Mus musculus: one gene and its partners. The main gene of each other region encodes a partner of the protein of the gene in region 4 in a complex. Links are inferred from orthologs where the notes say so. Each region holds a gene or a part of one and is shown on either strand. Other genes may lie near its edges. The genes, in order: Rgs2, Rgs10, Trpc5, Gnai3 and Casr.

Region 1 (4,274 bases), on a different chromosome or scaffold from region 4:
CATAATCCCAGACCTATTGATTTTAAATGCTCCAACAACATTGCATCGGATCTTTCATCTCAAACTCTGCTTTCCCGACAAGGAGGAAGAACACATTCAGAGGCCTGTTCCCTCCCTCTGTTCTTCACACAGTGAGGGAAGCCGTTCTCACACAGAGCCTCTCCTAGGTTGCTGACTTCCTGATTCACTACCCAACATTGAATCAATAGTTCTGAGCGATGTTTTCCTAACACTCAGGCTGAATTCAAGGTCAGTTTTTTTTTTTTTTCTGGCAGGTCACAGCCTTTGCTCTTGGGAGACAGAATGGAATGTCCTTTGTGTGTGGGGGGACTCCTGGTCTCATGTAGCATGGGGCTCCGTGGTGATCTGTGGCTTTTTACATAAGTCCTGGTAGAATTCGGACTCCAAGAACCGAGGATAAGAATTGTTCTCCATCAAACTGTACACCCTCTTCTGAGCTGTGGTGAAGCAGCCACTTGTAGCCTCTTGGATATTTTGGGCAATCAGAGATTTCGTTTGGAAGTCTATGTTTATCTGAAAGAACAAAACAAAAGTCCATTTATTGGCTAGTCAACACTGCAGATTGATGCTTAATAATAAAACATAAAGGTGTAACTTGTGATCAGTTATAACTGTCAACTTTGGAGAAACTTAAATGTTAGGACAGCTGGGATGAGAGGCGCACAGGGCTCTTCTCACTTGTGCTTGAATGTGGTGTATTCAAGTCTCAGGTTTCAACAGTGTTGAAGGTGATCTGAGGCGCCTGTCTTCTTACCTCTTTGGGAGCTTCCTTCTCTATGAAGTCGGTATAGATTTTCCTTGCTTTTGAGGACAGTTTTTGGGGTGATTTGGTTTTTTTGAAGTCTTCACAAGCCAACCAGAATTCAATGTTTTCTTCACAGAACTCGGACTTTAAAAACGCCCTGAATGCAGCCAGCCCATCTGGAAGCACAGGAAAAGCAGCATGAATGGAACGACCGAATTATACACAGTTCTTCTGCACAAAATGATCAGTTTCCTAGACTTCATTCAAGCCTGTCATTCTCTAGGTCTGGCTCTTTAAGCACTAAGATGCCAGTAGGCAAAAATGCTTAAGTTTGTAGTCTGCAACAAAAGTATACTTAACTTCACTGGCACTGCAAGACCAGTGTTTATAGGCCATAAGTTCACTAGGAACTAGGGCTTTTGAAAATATTCTATGCAATGGAAAAGCTGACTCAACCACAGCCTGAGTAACTGGCATTTTAATTTTTAGGCTAACTTTTCTTCCCCACCTGAGGTGAATACCTCTTGCTTCCCCATGATTAAACCCAGTGATATAAGGGAAAGAAAAAGAGGCTTTGAACTGTCAGTGGTGGTAATGTCTAATGCACTTCTTGCAATCATTTCTAGGCTTTTAAAGATACTGGTGAGAGATCACATTCAAGAGGTGAACTTACATTTACTGGCCAGCAGTTCATCAAATGCTTCTGCCCAGAGCTGCGCTTCCTCAGGAGAAGGCCTGCAAGAGAAGTTCCGCAAATGAGCTCCCCAACACACATCAGTTCCCCTTCCCCTTTTGCTTGGCTTGGTTAGATATTCATCTCTGTAACTACAGGATCCGAAACTTACTTGATAAAAGTTTGCTGTTTGCTTTTCTTGCCAGTTTTGGGCTTCCCAGGAGCAGAGGAATTCTGCAAGAAGTAGCTCAAACGGGTCTTCCAATCCTTTAAGCTGGAAAAAAAAAGAGAGAAAAAAAAAATACTTCAAGTGGCAATTCTTGAACGGTCAAACTATCATCAGCTGCAGTAGCTACAAACAAAGCAGATGAGTCTCTCCCTCTTAGCTTTTAAACCCAGCACCTCAGAACACAGTTTTATCCATTCATCCGACTATAATGAGCTTTACAAGCAGGATAGGACTACATAACAGCCAGGGTATTTTAAATTTTCACCAGTTATTTCTGACCTAATAAACAGGTAGTGGATTTTCTGCATGGTTAAACTACAGCTTGCTGTCATTTTTCAATTGAGAACAGCAGTCTTGACCCAGCTGATGTTTCTTCCCTTTCTGCACTGGGGGTAGGAGGGTCTGCACTATGCCAGAGACAATGCATAGGTGTGTGTGTGTGTGTGTGTGTGTGTGTGTGTGTGTGTGTGTGTGTGTGATGGATTCCCTAGCTCCCCTCTGCGACCGCCCACAGTGCTTCTCCGCAGCAGATACTGCAGAGCAAATTACTCATTCCATAGTCGTGACTGGGTGAGCCCTACTTTATGATTTAAAAATGGATCTCATACATTGCGAATCAACTCAAACATCTCCACCCAGCAGCTATGCAAGCAGCTCAGAACTAACAATGCAACGTCCAGACGCCGGTGGACGTTATTCAGCTACAGGATTCTGATGCCACATTAAATGCAGAACAAAAAGCCAACCAGCCCTTCTCAGATCATCTACCGCCACCTTCTTCAACCATTTCCTATAGTTCCTAAACTCTCGGAGCTCACATAGAAAAAAAGCAAATACCACCATATCTAGCAAGCTAACCCCCCACCCCCCAAGCCCCCACACTTTCTCTGCAGAGGTGCAGACTAGAGAGCATTCAAAGCCGAGATCGAGGGAAGGTAGGTCCCTAGCAGCAAAGCCAGGCTGGGTATGAAGAGCTCTTCGGGAGACAGGGCATACTCACAGTGTCCGCTTCATTTTCTCCCGCTTCTCCTCGACCTTGGGGCCGTTGCCTGCACTCTTGTCCATGGGTACGCAGTCGTGCTGGACAGCCAGGAACATGGCACTTTGCATTCTCAGACTCCCGCGGCCACCGCAGCTGTTTGAGGCCGGGAGCGCGCCGCGGGCTTTTAAGGCGGGCGGCGGCATAGGGGCGGGACCTGGAGGCGTCAGCCACGCCCCAAGAGAGCGCGGATTGGCTCGCTGCAGACGGCACGAGGGCGGAGTCGCCCCGGCCTGTGGCAGTCACGGCAGCCCCCGAAGGGCCTGGAAGCGAGGGCGCTGTTGACGTAGGCGCCGCATCCTCGTGCGCACACAGGGTGGGAGGTGGCGGGCGGGGACACAGAGAGATTTGGTAGGCACTTCGGGCAGCCACGCGGTGAAGGGTCTCCGAGTTCTTGGCTTTTCCTTTACTGAAGACCGTACCTTTTACTCGTGTGCGTGTGTGTGTGTGTGTTCGCGCGCGCCCCACCTTTGTATCTATTGTTCATCCGGACACCCATAAACTGCAGCTGGGATGGGGAGAGCCCTGCTGGCTGCACTCAGCAACTCTACCTATTTTAGAGAAGGAAATCAAACAACTAGAAAAACCTGAAATATGGACTGTTGAGTAAGGTGCTGTAGCTCGCTCAGGCACCTTGGAATTCCTAAAGGGAATTCCACGCTACTCAGGGAGGAAGCGGGAGAAAGTTTCTATTAAAACCTGGTGTTTTAACCAGTTCTGCAGTTTTGATCTTTAAATGCATGGCTGCAGCAGGCTGTGGCTTTGCAGGGTCGTTCCCCAGGAGACCCGAGGGGCATCTCCTGCGGGGCACAGCAAAGATCAGAGAGATAGGTGAGAAATACAAAGGGAAACCCAGGATCTCGCAGTTCTGCTGCACACGGATCATGTGTAGTTTCAGAGCGTAAGGAATCAGGATTTCCTCATGAGTCATTCACGGTTGAACAGATTTAGGAATTACTAGATGTTCAACTGCTTAAGTTAAGGTGGCGGTGCAGTGGGGGCTAGAGCTAGATGTGAGAGCCGGTTGGTGTAAAGAATTTGTTTGGGTAAGCTTCATTTGTGAGAACCCCTGTCTCTGCTCCTGCAGGGTTTAATAAGCCCTGATTTGTAAGAACTAATACATGACTTCAACTACAAACTGATTCAGCTTCCTATGTTACCAGAATGATGCGGCGGAATACCTAAGTGGTTTTCCCATAAAGTCTGAACAGACTAACAAAAAGGTACGGCTTAGGCTCTAGTTATTCTGATTCATACTAGATCTACTAAAAGGAAAATGAAGACCCATTCTCAAACTGGGAACCAAGCAACACATTGTGACAAGCTGAGGGTAGTTTGAGTCAGAGATCAAAGTCTGCAGTCGCTAATGAAGAAGATTGGTATAGCCTTATTATAGAAGGAATATCATTTCGATTTTAGCAACAAATACTTGATAGCATGCTTATGAATCTGTAAGATGAAATTTTTAATAAGCCGAAAAGATCTGCACTGTTTCTACATTTGCTTTAATTTCTGACGATTTAATACATATTTATTAAGCTTGTGTTAATAAAATAGTGTTGCTCGT
Region 2 (4,050 bases), on a different chromosome or scaffold from region 4:
GAGAGCACCATTATGTCTGTGTCTGTGTCGGTTTAGGCTCAGCTTTTACAGAGCCTATGACCCAAGAGCTATTTCAATGGCCAGGAAGCTTGGGGGGGGGGCGGGCGGCAATAGCAGCTGGAGACATTCAGAAACCCCGGCTTGGAAGCCACACTGATGGTGCTCACCTGCAAGCCGCAGCTGAAGACCTCTGCAGCCTTCAGGGGACGGAACATCCTCTTTGGATAGCACAAATGGCCGTGTTTGGAAATGATGGAGTGGGGAAGGGTAGGCAGAGAGATGGTGAATAACCACAGAGGGCCAGGGCTGAGGTGGCGTTGGGACTGCAGGGTGGACAAAAAGGGAGGAAAATAGAGCAAAATGGGAAGCTCAGAATAGAAGATATAAAGGAAAGTGCCAACTAGTGAAAATCCTGCGAAAGAACGCGCGCGGGGGGTTGGGGGGGCGACTGGGGAATGGTTTAGAAAAATAGCAATTAGCACAGCTAAAAATAAAGACCAATTTCGAGACAAAGCCAGACCCACAAGGAGAAAAATAAAACTCGCCAGAAAGACAATTCCTTGCAAACCGAATGCTCAAGAAAATGGGGCTAACGACACCCCCCTCTTGGGCTGTTTGGTAAAAAGAAATGGGAAACTAGATGAGCGTGGAGCGCGGCGCTGAGCAGGTGACTGGCACCAGGAGGAGCGTTGAGCCCGGCGCTGGGATCTACAGGATTCCGGTAGTTGAGCGCAAAGGTTCTCCTGAGACTGCACCCAAGTGTCGTCCAAGTTAAAAAATGTGCTGGCGCGCTCAGATCCACTCTGAAACCGCAGAGGCTCCAGACAGCGTTCTCCGAGGTTTGTCCCGGGGCTTGGAAGCCCCGGCACAGGCGTGGCGTGGGCCAGAGTGGGCGCCCACTCGCGGCGGCTTGGCTCGGGACTCTGGTGACGCCTCCCGGGCATTCGCGGCGTGAGCAGGCCGCGCGCCCACGGAATCGGGTAGACCCGGGGGCGATCTGGGAGGTGACTCGGGCCTGGCAGGGACACCGAACGCTGTATGTCTCCAGGCCGCGAGGGGAGGGACCGGGATGTGCGCGGGAGCTGAGGGTCACCCGGGGCCACCGCGCCCTGCCCTGCGCGGGTAACTGAGGGCTGGACCCAGTGCCCACGGGCGCGGGTGGGCAGGGAGAGGGGAGCGCGGCGGGGAGGAGGCGGCGGGCGGAGCCTGGAGGGGCGGCGTCGCGCGGGCTCCTCCTCCTCCTTGCCCTCTTCGGGCTTAGCCGCCGCGCTGCCCGGCTGCTCCGTCCTCTGGACGCCCGCGGCGATGTTCACCCGCGCCGTGAGCCGACTGAGCAGGAAGCGGCCGCCGTCTGGTAAGCGGTTGCGGGCGCTTGGGCGCGGGAAGGACGGGGTCGCCGGGTCCCCTGGCGCGGCTCGCTGTGCCGCCCGGACAGCAGCCGCGCTCCTCCCCGCTCGCTCTGTCCCAGCCGCGGCGGGAGCGCAGAGCCGGGGAGCCGCCCGGGGAGGAAGTTGGGCTTGAAGCGGGAGTCAGAGCAGCTTTCTTTCTAGAGAAGGTCTGGGAACCACGGGAGACACATTAACAGCCCCTCACTCCGAGGCAGCGTGGGAAGCCAGGCTTCCCTCCTGCGTGCAGCCTCTTTCTCGGGCGGAATGGGAAGGATGCTCCGCCGGACCTCTGCATCCCCGGAGTGGCCGGCCCCGCGGCGCCAAAAAAAGTGGAGTCCCAAGGTGGCTGCACACCAGGGCGGGGGAGGAACTTGTGTGACACGGCGGGGGAGTCACTTTGTTTTTCCCCCTGAACCTGCCTGACCCACAGTTTGGGGCAACTTGGCAAGACAAAGAACCCACGGTGCAGAAATGGTGATTTGAATCGTGCCATCCTTTTTGTTCTTAATAACACCTAACACTCTTTGATGGCTTAGGTTGTGGCCAGGAGCTGTGTTGACACCTTGTGTGCTTTCTCTTGTCTTCACCATTAGAGCAGCCGCGTCGGAGGGGTGGGGCTCTAAAGCCAGGGTGTTGGGTAACCTGCTCTACTCTTAGCTGATGGATTTTTTTAAACGTAGGTTTATTTGCTTGACTCTGGGTTCGGGGTTCAAAGGCTTGCTTTTCTGTCGCCCAGAGATTCACTACGCTTTAGCCGGTTTCCTCTTTTCACGTAAATATCAAACGTGGTTAAGCGGCTGCAATCAGACATAGACCCAATCCCTTGGCCACCACTCGACAGCTGTGCAACTTCTTTGTGACTGGGGATGTGCAAAGGGTAGCTTTAAGTGCTTAATTGGAGACTCCCCCCCCCCCATCAGCCACATGCAAATCATTTCATTAATTATTTAAGACAACCCCACTAAAGTCAGATTCCATAGAGTTATTGTAAAGAGTTTGCACTGTTGTCTTAATATGCGTTGAAATGCTCCATTAGTGTTCCCGAGTGGTCACATTCCCTTGTGATGCTGATGGCTGACACTGAGTGGTGGTCAGATTCTAGGCACCGGAGTTAAACTCCAACCTTGACTCTGCCACTCCGCCACACTGAATAATGAATGTCCTTGGACCTTTCTGTGCCGCAGAGCTGTGCTGGTGCTGGCTCAGTGTAGCTTGCAAGAACCAATTGCTAAATGTTCAGGGCATCTGGGAACTGGTTGCTACGTCATAGGTGGACTGAAATGAACTGTGGTGGGACATATCAACATATGTCAGACATCAAGGCTGGAACAGTGGATTTCAGGAAGCTGTGGACTTAACTACATACTTAAATTTTATTTTAGATCATATTTATCATGTGTATGTGTGTGCTCGTGTGCGTCTCTGTGTGTGTGTGTGTGTGCATATGTGTGTTTGCATGCTACAGCTTGTATGTGGAGGTTAGAGGATGACTTATGGAAATCAGTTTTCTTCTACCGATAGGTCCCAGTAGTCAAAATCAAGCCGTCAGGTTTGGATGTAAGCATCCTTACCCACTGAACCGTGTTGCTAGCCATTAACTACAGGTTTTAATTCTGATAAGGATATGCTTACATTACTAATAGTAGGATCAGCAGTTAAACCTGAGAAGCCCCAAGTGCAATGCTGGATACATGATAAAGGTGTGGGGCTTACTAGTTTCCTTTTCTTTCTTTTTCCATCATGTAGGGGAGTTCCGTCTAGCCTTGCCTAGGTTGCTTGCTGCTTAAAATTATATTTGGCCAGAATATAATACAAATAGAACCACTGAATTGTGACAGATACCTGGATTTGGGATGCTTTTGCATACGGCCAGATTGCAATCCCAAACTGAAAGGCAGTTTCACAGTCATTGCTAGCATGTATCTGTTCCAGGGCAACAGACTAACCCTGATGAAGCTTGCCCACACCAGTGATACAAAGGCCAGCAGGGAAATAGCAGTGCTTGGTGTTGGATGTCTATATGGCCAGAGCCCAATTTCCTTGAAATCTGTGGGTATAAGTTCTGCTGCCCTGTGAAAGGACACGAGCCCCTGCCAGTTTGGTCACTATCATCACCACCCAACATCAAGAAAAGGAGCCAAGTGAGAAAGGAGGGAGGGTGAGGGCTCCTTACAGAGATGCTGTGCAGCAGGCAAGCCGTCTGCAGGACAGTTAAGGATTTGGGAGAAGGTAATTTTGATGTTTTTTTTTTTTTTTCTTGTGGTGCTAGAGGTGTGCCCAAGGCCTTGTATATGTAGGCAAATGGCCTGCCCCAGAGCAACACCCCGCCTGAACTTCGCTTTTAAAGAGGTTTTCCAGAGTATCCTACTGAAGCCCCACCAAAGCTGGCCGTACCCCTGCGGGAGCCTGGGCTGGGCTTGACTGCAAGCCTCTCTCCCCCAGAGCATTCTATGTGAGGCTGAAAGAGTTAAATCTCATCAAAGATGGCATCTGTAAGTAGAGAGCTGGAAGCCCCACCTGTTTCTAAGGTTCGCAGTTGGAGGCTCTATGTTCTGCCTATCAGGTAGGGGAAGCAGGGGGCCTTGATAAAAGTCAGACCCCAGTTCCATCTTGGGGAACCAAGGGGAGCAGGAAGAGTCACAGCTTCGTTTTTTAGCAAGTA
Region 3 (3,510 bases), on a different chromosome or scaffold from region 4:
ATGTAATATGGCATTTATTGTGTTTCCTGTGACAGTGACATTACTAAGATATTTTAAGCAGGAGGATAACGTGCTTTGGCTTTAAGCTTTGGAAAGATGGTTTGTAAAGGAGCAAGTTAGTGGTACGCAAACAACTGGAGAGAAGGCAATTCATATGCATTTGTATGACTGCTCCCCCAACACACACACTCCCTGCCCCATCCCAAAGCAGTAGCCTCGTCACCTGACACTTCTTCAGTTTCCTTCCTGGACCCTAACTGTCTTTGCCTCTGCAGTTGTCCTTTAACTTAGAGACACTTCACAAGGGCAAGTACTCTAATAGTTTAACTTAGAGACACTTCACAAGGGCAAGTACTCTAATAGTTTAACTTAGAGACACTTCACAAGGGCAAGTACTCTAATAGTTTAACTTAGAGACACTTCACAAGGGCAAGTACTCTAATAGTTCAACTGTCAGTTACCACTTTCTTTTTAAAATTTTGGGTGTATGGGTGCTTTGCCTGTAAGTATGTTTGCCTACATATATGCATGTGTACCACCTGTATGTCTGGTGTAGGTAGAGGTCAAAACAGGGTGTCGGGTCCCGTAGAACTAGAGTTACAGTTGTGAGGTGGGTGTGACATGGGTGTGATGTGAGTGCTGGGAAATTGAACCCGGGTCATCTGTGCAGTCAGCCAGTGCTCTTAACCACTAAGCCATTTTCTCCAGGCCAGTTACCACGTTACTAGCTATTAGTTCATGTTATTGTCCAGAGGTTCTGTAATCAACCTTAGCACTGTGTAATTTTTCCAGTTGTGACCGAATAGTCTTTCTGTGCTTGACTAATGGAAGATTTTGAAAAGTATAATGTGTGCCTCATGATTTATTACTAGGTACGACTTAGCCGATGCAAAACTCTTGAGTGTCTTCTTTAAACTAAAGACAACTTTTTTTCTGATAAAACATGTCTCCTCCCCCCTTCTCTCTCTCTGTCTCTCTCTCTCTCTCTCTCTAGGAATTAAAGCAGGACATTTCCAGCTTTCGATATGAAGTGCTTGACCTCTTGGGAAACAGGAAACATCCAAGAAGAAGCCTCTCCACCAGCAGTGCTGATTTCTCTCAAAGGGATGATACCAATGACGGCAGTGGTGGGGCTCGGGCCAAGTCTAAGAGTGTCTCTTTCAATGTAGGCTGCAAGAAAAAGGCCTGTCACGGTGCACCGCTCATCAGAACCGTGCCAAGAGCTAGTGGCGCCCAAGGAAAGCCAAAATCCGAGTCGTCGAGCAAACGGTCCTTCATGGGTCCGTCTTTCAAGAAATTGGGTCTCTTCTTCTCCAAGTTCAATGGTCAAACATCTGAACCTACTTCGGAGCCAATGTACACAATCTCTGATGGCATCGCACAGCAGCATTGTATGTGGCAGGACATCCGCTATTCTCAGATGGAGAAAGGGAAGGCAGAGGCCTGTTCTCAAAGTCAGATGAACCTTGGCGAGGTAGAGCTAGGTGAAATCCGGGGGGCTGCTGCTCGGAGCAGTGAGTGCCCCCTAGCCTGTTCCAGCTCCCTTCACTGTGCATCCGGCATCTGCTCCTCAAATTCGAAACTTTTGGACTCGTCAGAGGACGTATTTGAAACTTGGGGAGAGGCTTGTGACTTGCTCATGCACAAATGGGGTGATGGACAGGAAGAACAAGTTACAACTCGGCTCTAAGTCAAATCCCCGTCATCTATTCTGGAATTCAAGAGAATATTTGTAATTTCCCTGTTCTCAGAGGTGACCCCAAATTTGGTTCCCTCCCTGTCCCCAACACACACACACACACACACACACACACACACACACACACACACACACACCAAGGAGTGAAACTCCTATTACTTTCAGTCTTTTCTAGCCACATTCTTCATGTTTTGTTTCACTGTCATTATCATTTGCCTTTTTATATCTATAAATACTAAATCCATCTCAAAAGCAACTGAAGGGGTCCTGCCCCTAATGAGCAGAGGTGCGGTCGGGTGCTTTAACCCCTTTGCTTTGCTTTGTTCACCCTTGCCTCCTTGAAGCTCCAGGTGCCACTTTGCTACCATAGCTGCCGCATAGATTCCTGACATGCCTCAGGATCTCACACCCATCTCCCCACAGAGCTGAGGGCTACGGTCAGCAGTCCCTACCAGCTATCAGATAAGGCTAATCAACCTGCCTGTCTTCGTTGCTCTTCAGTGCTACACGCTGCCCATGCTGGTCCGATGAACAGCATTAAAGGGAGACTCCAAAGAATTGTCAGCTTGTGGTTTCTAGGTAGAACTGGCCTTTCCGTTCCGTTTTTAAACACTACAAGTACTAATTGTGGGGACTGTAGAGGTTTTGTTTCGTAAATGTGTGTTAGTTTCTTAACGTGTAGCAATGAGATATTTACTGTACAGTGCGTACCACATAATAAGTTAGCTAATTTCCTGTGTTTGTATATTTCGGTTAACTTACCATACCTTAAAATTTGAGAGTATCAAAACTAGTATTTAGGATGTGTACTTTTTTCAAAAAAAAAAAACTTTTACTGTACTTTAACTAATAGTTACTACATCTCATACATTGGCAAGAAAAATAATTAGTTGGTATATTTATAGGGTCCTATCTACTGTGGATAGTTTTAATCATCATTGATATAAAAGCATTTCTAAGATTAAAGTCTGGATTTGAAATATTTTTATCAGAAAAATGACAATTTATTGAGGTGTTAAAATTTGGGGGGAAAATGCACCTCAATTTAATTAATTGCTTTCTGGAAAGAAAACCCAACAGATACAAATGTAGGTTCAGATAACTGAATTCAGATTGCAGCTGCAGTATCTACTGGGGGACAGTGGAAAGCACATGTATGAGCTCTTGGATATAGAACATAATAATCCTAGTGGATTTGTAGAACTATACTTGTGGTCTAAGTTCTGCCTTCCAAGAAAGCTGCAGTTATACATTCCAATTCTTTCCCATAGGCAAGGAGTACTTAATCCGAATATAAGTTAAAAATGAAGCTAGTTTGCGGATGGTAATCACCTTAGAACTGAGACCCACCAAACAGCTGAGCAAACATGGGTTTACCAACATATGCTCGGCTTGTAGAGATTAACAATGTCTATGGCAGAAACGTTAAAGAAGGCTGTTGAGTACCACTTGGTCTTTTTAAAGGTCACCACCACCAAGGACTCCTTCACATTTTTGTGATGTCTGCTAGAGGTGAAGGGGGAAACTGTGAAACAATGTAAATGTGTCTGCAAGCTTGCTTTTGACAGAGTAGTTTAAGTCAAACTGACTTTCCATCTCTATCCCTAGCATTGGTGAATGAGGGGGAAAATGTTTCATGTGGAGATGAGCCAAATTAGGGGCAAGGGAGGCAGGAAGTGCTGCTGGATACAACTCAGATACCCAGAAAAAGGAACTAGGAGAGTAAGATCCATCAGCATCCATTTGGCTGGCAAGGGTTTGTTCCAAAATAATCTATCTTATCTGAAGTGCTCATTTATTCAAATCCAACT
Region 4 (4,292 bases):
CTCCCTTACAAGCCGAGGAAGCAACAGGGTGAGATGATCCATCCTGCCAGTTTTGCCAACATCTTGGTATCGAGGTGACTGCCATCCAAAAACCTTAGATGCTCTGTTGTCAGGGGTCTCCCAGCTATACCTTCTAGAGAGGTCTGGTAGAAAGAGGGCGTGAAGTTGAAACTAGACAGATGTACTTACTGTGTGGACGTGGGAAAGCGACTGAATTCCTCTGAGCCCATTTTCTCATTGGCGACAATGGGGATTAATATTACCTACCTCACAGGGTTGTTGTGAGGATTAAGAGATGAGACATGGAAGTGCCTACCTGGCAAAAAGGTACTCAATAATGTTGTGTTTCCCCCTTTCCTCTTGACCCTTTCCCCCCTAGAAGTGATCAGAAAGGAAAAGCAGTTTCTTTTGGAAATGAGTGGGAGACTTTCCAGACTTGGAATTGACAAGCATTATGGGTGACGTGGACGAGGTTAATCTAATTAGATGGTTCTAATTAATTAATTTTCACTATAGACCTTTCTCTTGGGAATTTGTAGCTTAAGTTACCTCCTACTAGAGAAATGTTTTAAATTCCAGGGAAATGTTTCAATGGCTGTAAAAAAATGCCCCTTCTTAAAACGGGTGTTGAGTCATTGTGGGTCTATTTAGTAGGGACTTTAGGATATTCTTCACAGAGCCAATATTCAGGAGATAGTAGAAAGACAACTTTTACCAAACTTCCCCCTTTCTGTGGCTATCACAGAGGAACTCTTGTTAGATTAGAGATTAGCTCGTTTATTTCTGGGTATGGAACTAAGTCCTCAGGTTTACCTGGAAGAAAGGGAAGCGTGGAAATATTATAAATGAATTACACCTAGTTTCATATTCTAATACTTACTACCTATTTTTCACTCTCTATTACTTGATGCGGTCGAGTGATCCTTTGCCAACATAGGAGTGCCAGGCATATGTACAGCTCACAGAAATCCATACGTTGTAGCAGAAGGACTAATATATACTTGGCATAATGGGTGTAGCCAGAGGAATGGGTGAACATCCAGGCTGGGCAGCTCAAGGATCAGACGGAGGGAACTTTGGCTGAAGTGCCCAACACGCGGCTCTGGACAGAGACCTGGGCTCCAAATCACAGATGAAAAGGAAAAAAGGTTTTTTTGTTTGTTTGTTTTCTGGAGAGGGAGGCTTTTCCCAACAGCAATTCCCAGAGGACTGTGAGCTCTCATTTGAGAATCTGATCCTCACCGCCAAACCTCCAGAGCACACCACGTGCTGGAAGTCCCGCTTTTTCTACACTTGGAATCCAAGTCCAGGAGCCGGAGAAGTAAAAGGGTATTAAGGCTGGGAGGTGCGGAGCGAAGGCTCGCCATCACTCCACGGGGACAGTCAGGTACCAGGGAACTTCCGCTCTCCGTACCACCTCCGCCTCCCACTGGCACAGCGCTCTAAGTAGTAACGGCCGCTGGGCGTCGCCGGAAGTGTCGTAAACAGCACACATCCGGTTCTTCCGGGAGCTAGGGGAGCTGACGGAGAAGGCCACCGCCCAGCAGAAGACCCGTCTCCGCCGGTGTGTGGCGATTCCCGCGGTGTGTGTGAGTGAGCCCGGGCCCGGTCCCCTCTCCCGCCGCCGCCATGGGCTGCACGTTGAGCGCCGAGGACAAGGCGGCGGTGGAGCGGAGCAAGATGATCGACCGCAACTTGCGGGAGGACGGGGAGAAAGCGGCCAAAGAAGTGAAGCTGCTGCTGCTCGGTGAGGGGCTGGGGGCGGAGCTGGAGCGCTGGAGCCGGAGAGCCCGGCCCCGGGAGCAGCCGGAGCTGATCGGGGTCTGGCCAAGGCCGGCAGAGAGGACCCCAAAGGGACAAGGAGGGGATGCCCAGCAATGGGGCGGGTACTGGGCTTGGCGACTGAGGCCCCGGAAGGCGTGGGGATTTCAGGTTGGAGAGGGTGTAACCCGGCTGGGATGGTACTTAGTAGAGTTGGGGAGTTTGGAGCCCCGAGACTGTGCTGGGAATCCGGGCACGGCTCTTAAAGGGAGGGACCGAAATTAGGGAGGGTTCACACTGGGCTGGAACGTGTTGAGGAGGATAGTGTATGGTGTCTGGTGGGGCCTGTCTAGGGTTTGTGTGAGTTTGATACTTGATGTCAGGATAAAGCTGGAAGGATTGAATGATTAAATAGCGAAGCTAGTACAGAGAGGGTCACATAAAGAACTTGCTCGCAAGTCTTTTTGTGCTGTTAGTGAGGTGGGTTGTCCAGGAACACCCAGGAGGCGGTTGAAATAAATGACAGGTTCTTAGGTATAAAAGAAAAGACCTTGGGTGCAGAGGCCACTAATACTTTTTTCAACTTTTTTTTAAAATCTCTCTCTCTCTCTTTTTTTTTTTTAAATTCTCTTGAGCTTCCGTGATTCCTTTTTTAAATTAAAGGGCTAGGGATGGTGTGAGCTGAGGAAATTGAAAGAATGCCATTTTTGAGGTTTGGGGTAGAGGACAGTGGGACCATGTGTGTCGGGAATAGTAGAGGATAACATATGGACTGGGGCAGATTTATTGTAGAGATTGTGATCTATTTGGGAGGGGTTGATTTTTTTTTTTAATTGGGTTTTTCAAAATAAAAGTATGTATTGGCTTTCAGACTACAAACACCGTGTTGTCTTATACTCAAGTGGGCTTTTTTATCTCTAGTCAGACATGTTTCAGTCAGGATAATTTCGTTTTAAACTTTGATAGGCCCAGTAAATCATATAAACTTCTCTCGCATTAGCTTACCAGTAAATCCAGCTGTATTCATTATTTATATCTTTGAGGAATCTGTTAGATGAGAATCATTACGAATAAGTCACAGGTTCTGGAAGCAGCAGAGCTTTTTAGATAAATACCGTCCCGAAAGGTCACTTTAGAGCACTAATTTCACTTTGTAGAGCTCCAGAGGACGGACACCACTGCCATAATCTTAGGCTGACTTCGTGCTTTAAGATGGGCTGGCTGCTTGCTTATATATTTTGGAAGCTCTGAGCGGCAGCTTGAATATAAAGAAAACGTTATGCAGTGGAGTTTGAGCTTCCAAAGGATAAGAATTCATAGCATAGCTCTGGACTGCCAGTGCCTGTATAATAGGTATCTTTTTAAAAATATTTTTATTAGGTATTTTCCTCATTTACATTTCCAATGCTATCCCAAAAGTCCCCCATACCCTCCACCCCACTCCCCTACCCACCCACTCCCACTTTTTGGCCCTGGCATTCCCCTCTACTTGGGCATATAAAGTTTGCAAGTCCAATGGGCCTCTCTTTCCAGTGATGGCCGATAATAGGTATCTTTTGTGGATGAACGTGGTTTCTGGTACTTAGCAGGGACTTAAGTATTTACTGTTAACCAATCAGTGTTTTTTTTGTTTTTGTTTTTTTTTTTTAAAGACAAGTTCATGCTGAATGTTAGTTCCTGGGGGCCTTTCAGAGTCTGGTGTAAAACACAACCCTTGTCAGTGTTCTCCCCTAGCCTAATTGCTGTTTTCAGACAGTGTCATTCTGCAGCCTAGTCCGGCCTTCTGTTCTCCATCCTCCTGCAGCTGGCTTCCCAATTGCTGGGATTGCAGCATCTATCAGCACACCAGTGACATTAACATTTTTTGTAAGAATCAAATGTGAAATCAAAGATGCATTCTCATATTCTGGGATTTGATCTATATTGACCACTGGAAAAACTTGGGTAAGCAGAACTATCCAAGTACCTGGAAAAATCTTTACTCAGGGTCTTTAGTTCCTTTAATTAAAAAAAAAAAAATTAAAATTAAATGCAGGATAGCTTACAGAATTTGAAAAGTTTAAGTAAAAGTCAAAATACTGATTTGTTTTTAATATTTACTAGCTTTTTTAAAAAAGGTTTTTTGTTTTGAGACAATATTGGCCTCAAAATTCATGAGATTCTGTAGCTGAGATTGTAGGTATGTACCACACCATGAAACTTTTTTCCCACTCTCAGGATTTTTTATGACGGTATTTTGAGCAAATTAAACCAGTAAGATGAAGTAGTTGCGGAAACAGCTGGTCTTACCTGAGCTGTGTCATGATGCATATGTGAAGTTAAAACGATCTCTCATGGGACTAGAGACATGTCTAACAGTCACAAGCACTTGCTGTTCTTACATGGGGCCTGCATTAGGTTCTCAGTACCCACACGGCTCACAACCATCTGTACATAAACGTACATGCAGATTGAACATCCAGACACATAAAATTAATAATTCTAAAAATGATATTTCATGATATTTCTTTAAGTAGAATTTACCTATGTGG
Region 5 (3,510 bases), on a different chromosome or scaffold from region 4:
AAAGCTTCAAGAAGGGACCCAGACTTCACCTTGAGCTTCATGATAGCTGGAAAGTGAAGGTCAACATTATCCCAACAAAACTAGATTTCTGTTTGTAAGGACAGCCAGGGACATTTTTCTCATGAATATGGAAAAAACTAAGTGTAAGACTGCGTCAAAGTTGACCATATCTTCATATGACCCACGTTGACAAGTGCTGCCCATGTTGCTCCTTACGGAACAGCCTTGCGGACGAACAAAATGCTTGCCCTGAAAATGTGTTAACGAGAGCAGAACCAGTTGAGCAGTGTTTTGTTTTGTTTTGTTTCTTAATAAAAATAACATTTAATGAATATTTTAAAAAATAATCTAGTATCTCCCAATAACCTTACAAGTTTGAAGCAACTATGTGGTGAAAGAAACATAAAGAGATATGGAAATTTTTACATCCAAGGTTAGACTAAGAGTTCTGGAAACCTGACTAGACAGTAGAATGCAATGGAACAGATTTCCCCTCCTGTCGATAAGTCTGAGTTGGGCCCACAACTCAGAGGAGGAGGAGCCAGCCTCTCTTGATGGCTTTTCTGCTGGACCCCGATTTGCTGAGTCAGCACATTTATCTAGCCTTCACCATCCCAAGCTAGTAAGAAAACTGGCACTATTGATTTTTTTTTTTTTTTTTTGCTTAAAATAATGTTCTTTTAAAAGCAGCAATGGTCATATTTTTAAAGCAAAAATTATAAATTAGCCCAACACACAGAATTTTTAAGGCATCTCCTACCCCTTTTGTTTGCAGTTCTTTTAATACTTGATACTTATCTACAAAAGGATCGTCTCACTTTCTGCTTTAACCTCCAGGAATGTCACAATCTAAATTTGTGACAAATCCACAAATCTGAGGTTATTTTTAGGTTCCCACATACTAATATCCTCATCTATTTACAGTCCCCTGGTGCTTTTTTGGGGGGGGGGGGACTTGCTATGTAGCCCAGAACTGGCCTCAAACTCACAACCTTCCCACTCCAGCCTGATAATTATATACCACACAGGCATATATCACCGCACCTAGCCAAGCCTTCAGTTTGCACCTTCACACCCTCACACCAGCTACTGCAAAGTTTATGCTAGAGAATGCAGCAATAAATTATTCAACTAAATACCAATAACAGTCATTTTATTATTGTTCCCTAATTCAAAGGGAATGCACTGTGCTGAGAATTTTTACCAATCTCCTGACATCTTTAAAGGCAGCCTAATAGGAAAGTGTCGTTCCTGTATTTACATGGAGGACCTTGAGCACATCACAAAACCAAAGGGTAATAGAGCCAAGATTCAAGCCCAGCTCTGACAGTCCTCACTCCAACAGGGTCTTCCACTGAGTCCATGTCTGTCTTCCAGGTATAACTTCCGTGGATTCCGATGGTTACAAGCCATGATCTTTGCCATAGAGGAGATAAACAGCAGCCCCGCCCTTCTTCCCAACATGACTCTGGGATATAGGATATTCGACACCTGTAACACCGTCTCCAAGGCTCTGGAGGCCACCTTGAGTTTTGTTGCCCAGAACAAAATCGATTCTCTGAACCTGGATGAGTTCTGCAACTGCTCCGAGCACATCCCTTCAACCATCGCAGTGGTGGGAGCAACCGGCTCCGGTGTCTCCACAGCGGTAGCCAACCTGCTGGGACTTTTCTATATCCCCCAGGTAATGCTACCTTCCTTCCTAAGACTTATTTTTATTACTTTAAATTATGTGTGTGTTTAAATATGTGCACAAGTGCAGATGCCTTCAGAGGCCAGAGGTGTCAGATCTCCTGGAGCTGGAGTTGCATGTGGTTGTGAGCCACCCAGCATAGGTCCTGGGAACCGAACTCAGGTTCTCTGAAACAACAGTACAACCATTTAACCTCTGAGCTATCCTCCACCCAAGTGACATCTCCTTAGATAAGCAACAGACTCAGGGAGCAGGAGAAACAGGTTTGAAGAGTTGCATGCTAGCAGTATCCTCTGGGGCTTTCCATAGACACAAAAGTAAGTGGGCACTGTTATCAGGAGCACTTGGGGTCTCTGTGACCTTTATGCCAATGAGACCGTCACTGTTCTTCCAATATTCTTTGTTTGTTTGTTTGTTTGTTTGTTTGTTTTGTTTTTTGCTTTTTGGTTTTTTTTGTTTTTTTGTTTTTTTGTTTTTTTCGAGACAGGGTTTCTCTGTATAGCCCTGGCTGTCCTGGAACTAACTTTGTAGACCAGGCTGGCCTCGAATTCAGAAATCCACCTGCCTCTGCCTCCCGAGTGCTGGGATTAAAGGTGTGCACCACCACGCCTGGCTTCCAATATTCTTTTCAAAATAACTCTAGCGTATATAACTCCACCTTTTTTCTCACTGTCATTTCCCATTCACTCCTTTAGCAGCTGGCCTTCTATTTTTACCAAAAGAAATAAGATCCTATGATGTAAGTCTCAAATCAAAATCAAATAAAAAATATTGGCCCCTTATTCTTTTTCCTCAAAGTCTCTTTTTCCCTATTTTCAGCTTTCGTTCAGGGGGAAATAAAGCCTGCTTCCCCATAATAGAGGAGCTTAATCACTGTGTCTGAAATGGAGCATACCTTAATATTCCCCAACAAATATTGACAGAGTGTATATGAACAGTCTCCATCCTGCAGGAACTCAGCCTAGGCGGGAGGTGGGTGCATTTTCAAATACTAATCAATCACCAGAGCAATTATTTTATAAGCATTGGTTCAAAGTTGTATTCCACTTCTCCCACAGCAAACTCTAAATGCCATTTTATTGCCTGATTTCTTCCTTTGGCACTATGGCTTATCAAGTCAATCTTTCTTTGGATTAATAACTACAGATCTATTACATCACTTTGTCACAGTGAAAATTGCAAGTAGCTTAAACATCTCTGGATAAGAAAATAGATAGAATCAGCTTGGTTGTGATATGGCCTTCAATTGTAAATTAAATTAAGGACCAGAGTTCAATTTTTTTCAGTGTTTAATATTCAAAACAATATTCAAAATTCATATCAATAAATTTCCATTTCTCTTGTTGCAAAAGGTCTGCTTCTTTGCTGAGAGCCTTAATCCTTTGCAGACTCATAACAATAGAGGCATTCTTGTCTTACACTTCCAGAAAGTAAAGATGTTCCACACAGGAAAGACGTGGCTTTGTCATGTTTGTACCAAAATGCTCTGACCCCGTCAGCATTAGTCAATGTGCTAGGCATGTTTACATCTGGGAGCTGGTGAAACAGTATTTTAAAAGCACTGTGAAGGGGAGTCGTCAGCCCAGCGGTAGAGGAAGGAAATGACATCAGGTAAAGAGCAGGAGGAGAGAGCTTCTCTTCTGCATGGCTAGAAGACAAGAAGGATATGATTGATCAAAGTGGTAAGGAGACTGCAGCTGCCCGGGTCTGGTGGAACTCACACCTTGAAACCCCGCAGGTGGAGCTCTGTGATTTTGCGATCAGACTGCTCTACAGCATGGGCGGGCTACAAAGTGATACTCTGCCTCAACTTACCT

The links.
Region 1: the proteins of Gnai3 (region 4) and Rgs2 are in contact, whole or in part, in a crystal structure (PDB 2V4Z), measured with the Homo sapiens proteins. The link is inferred for Mus musculus from reciprocal best matches to the Homo sapiens genes GNAI3 and RGS2. Residues at the interface, in NP_006487.1 of Homo sapiens: Val179, Lys180, Thr181, Thr182, Gly183, Ile184, Val185, Gln204, Ser206, Glu207, Lys209, Lys210, His213, Ala235, Glu236, Asp237, Glu238; in NP_002914.1 of Homo sapiens: Glu104, Phe105, Glu108, Asn109, Glu143, Ala144, Pro145, Glu147, Ile148, Asn149, Asp151, Phe152, Leu180, Asn183, Ser185, Arg188.
Region 2: the proteins of Gnai3 (region 4) and Rgs10 are in contact, whole or in part, in a crystal structure (PDB 2IHB), measured with the Homo sapiens proteins. The link is inferred for Mus musculus from reciprocal best matches to the Homo sapiens genes GNAI3 and RGS10. Residues at the interface, in NP_006487.1 of Homo sapiens: Val71, Val72, Ser75, Glu115, Val179, Lys180, Thr181, Thr182, Gly183, Ile184, Val185, Gln204, Ser206, Glu207, Lys209, Lys210, His213, Ala235, Glu236; in NP_001005339.1 of Homo sapiens: Glu62, Phe63, Ser64, Glu66, Asn67, Ala102, Ser103, Ser104, Gln105, Val106, Asn107, Val108, Glu109, Gly110, Leu137, Lys139, Tyr140, Asp141, Ser142, Arg145.
Region 3: the proteins of Gnai3 (region 4) and Trpc5 are in contact, whole or in part, in a cryo-EM structure (PDB 8GVX), measured with the Homo sapiens proteins. The link is inferred for Mus musculus from reciprocal best matches to the Homo sapiens genes GNAI3 and TRPC5. Residues at the interface, in NP_006487.1 of Homo sapiens: Arg205, Arg208, Lys209, Trp211, Ile212, His213, Phe215, Glu216, Glu245, Leu249, Ser252, Asn256, Lys257, Trp258, Arg312; in NP_036603.1 of Homo sapiens: Thr27, Glu32, Glu33, Glu56, Ile57, Tyr58, Tyr59, Asn60, Lys125, Pro128, Thr129, Leu130, Met131.
Region 5: the proteins of Gnai3 (region 4) and Casr are in contact, whole or in part, in a cryo-EM structure (PDB 8SZH), measured with the Homo sapiens proteins. The link is inferred for Mus musculus from reciprocal best matches to the Homo sapiens genes GNAI3 and CASR. Residues at the interface, in NP_006487.1 of Homo sapiens: Ala31, Lys32, Gln304, Glu308, Lys314, Asp315, Thr316, Lys317, Glu318, Ile319, Tyr320, Thr321, Phe334, Asp337, Ala338, Thr340, Asp341, Ile343, Ile344, Lys345, Asn347, Leu348, Glu350, Cys351, Gly352, Leu353, Tyr354; in NP_000379.3 of Homo sapiens: Lys644, Ala645, Asn647, Arg701, Val702, Val705, Phe706, Ala708, Lys709, Pro711, Thr712, Arg716, Trp719, Phe801, Ile869, Val872, Arg873, Thr876, Ala877, Ala880, Phe881, Lys882, Val883, Ala884, Ala885, Arg886.

What each region holds. Positions count from the first base shown.
Region 1 is NC_000067.6:144,001,341-144,005,614, forward strand, and holds the start of Rgs2 (regulator of G-protein signaling 2), read right to left. Parts: upstream 2,810-4,274; 5' UTR 2,779-2,809; coding exon 2,669-2,778; intron 1,714-2,668; coding exon 1,612-1,713; intron 1,502-1,611; coding exon 1,440-1,501; intron 943-1,439; coding exon 776-942; intron 535-775; coding exon 340-534; 3' UTR 1-339. UniProt on the Homo sapiens protein: Regulates G protein-coupled receptor signaling cascades. Inhibits signal transduction by increasing the GTPase activity of G protein alpha subunits, thereby driving them into their inactive GDP-bound form.
Region 2 is NC_000073.6:128,415,370-128,419,419, reverse strand, and holds the start of Rgs10 (regulator of G-protein signaling 10), read left to right. Parts: upstream 1-1,247; 5' UTR 1,248-1,305; coding exon 1,306-1,354; intron 1,355-4,050. UniProt on the Homo sapiens protein: Regulates G protein-coupled receptor signaling cascades, including signaling downstream of the muscarinic acetylcholine receptor CHRM2.
Region 3 is NC_000086.7:144,380,678-144,384,187, reverse strand, and holds part of Trpc5 (short transient receptor potential channel 5), read left to right. Parts: intron 1-994; coding exon 995-1,690; 3' UTR 1,691-3,510. UniProt on the Homo sapiens protein: Forms a receptor-activated non-selective calcium permeant cation channel. Mediates calcium-dependent phosphatidylserine externalization and apoptosis in neurons via its association with PLSCR1.
Region 4 is NC_000069.6:108,143,343-108,147,634, reverse strand, and holds the start of Gnai3 (guanine nucleotide-binding protein G(i) subunit alpha), read left to right. Parts: upstream 1-1,482; 5' UTR 1,483-1,629; coding exon 1,630-1,747; intron 1,748-4,292. UniProt on the Homo sapiens protein: Heterotrimeric guanine nucleotide-binding proteins (G proteins) function as transducers downstream of G protein-coupled receptors (GPCRs) in numerous signaling cascades.
Region 5 is NC_000082.6:36,513,628-36,517,137, reverse strand, and holds part of Casr (extracellular calcium-sensing receptor precursor), read left to right. Parts: intron 1-1,377; coding exon 1,378-1,684; intron 1,685-2,616; exon of another isoform or gene 2,617-2,623; coding exon of another isoform or gene 2,624-2,665; intron 2,666-3,510. UniProt on the Homo sapiens protein: G-protein-coupled receptor that senses changes in the extracellular concentration of calcium ions and plays a key role in maintaining calcium homeostasis.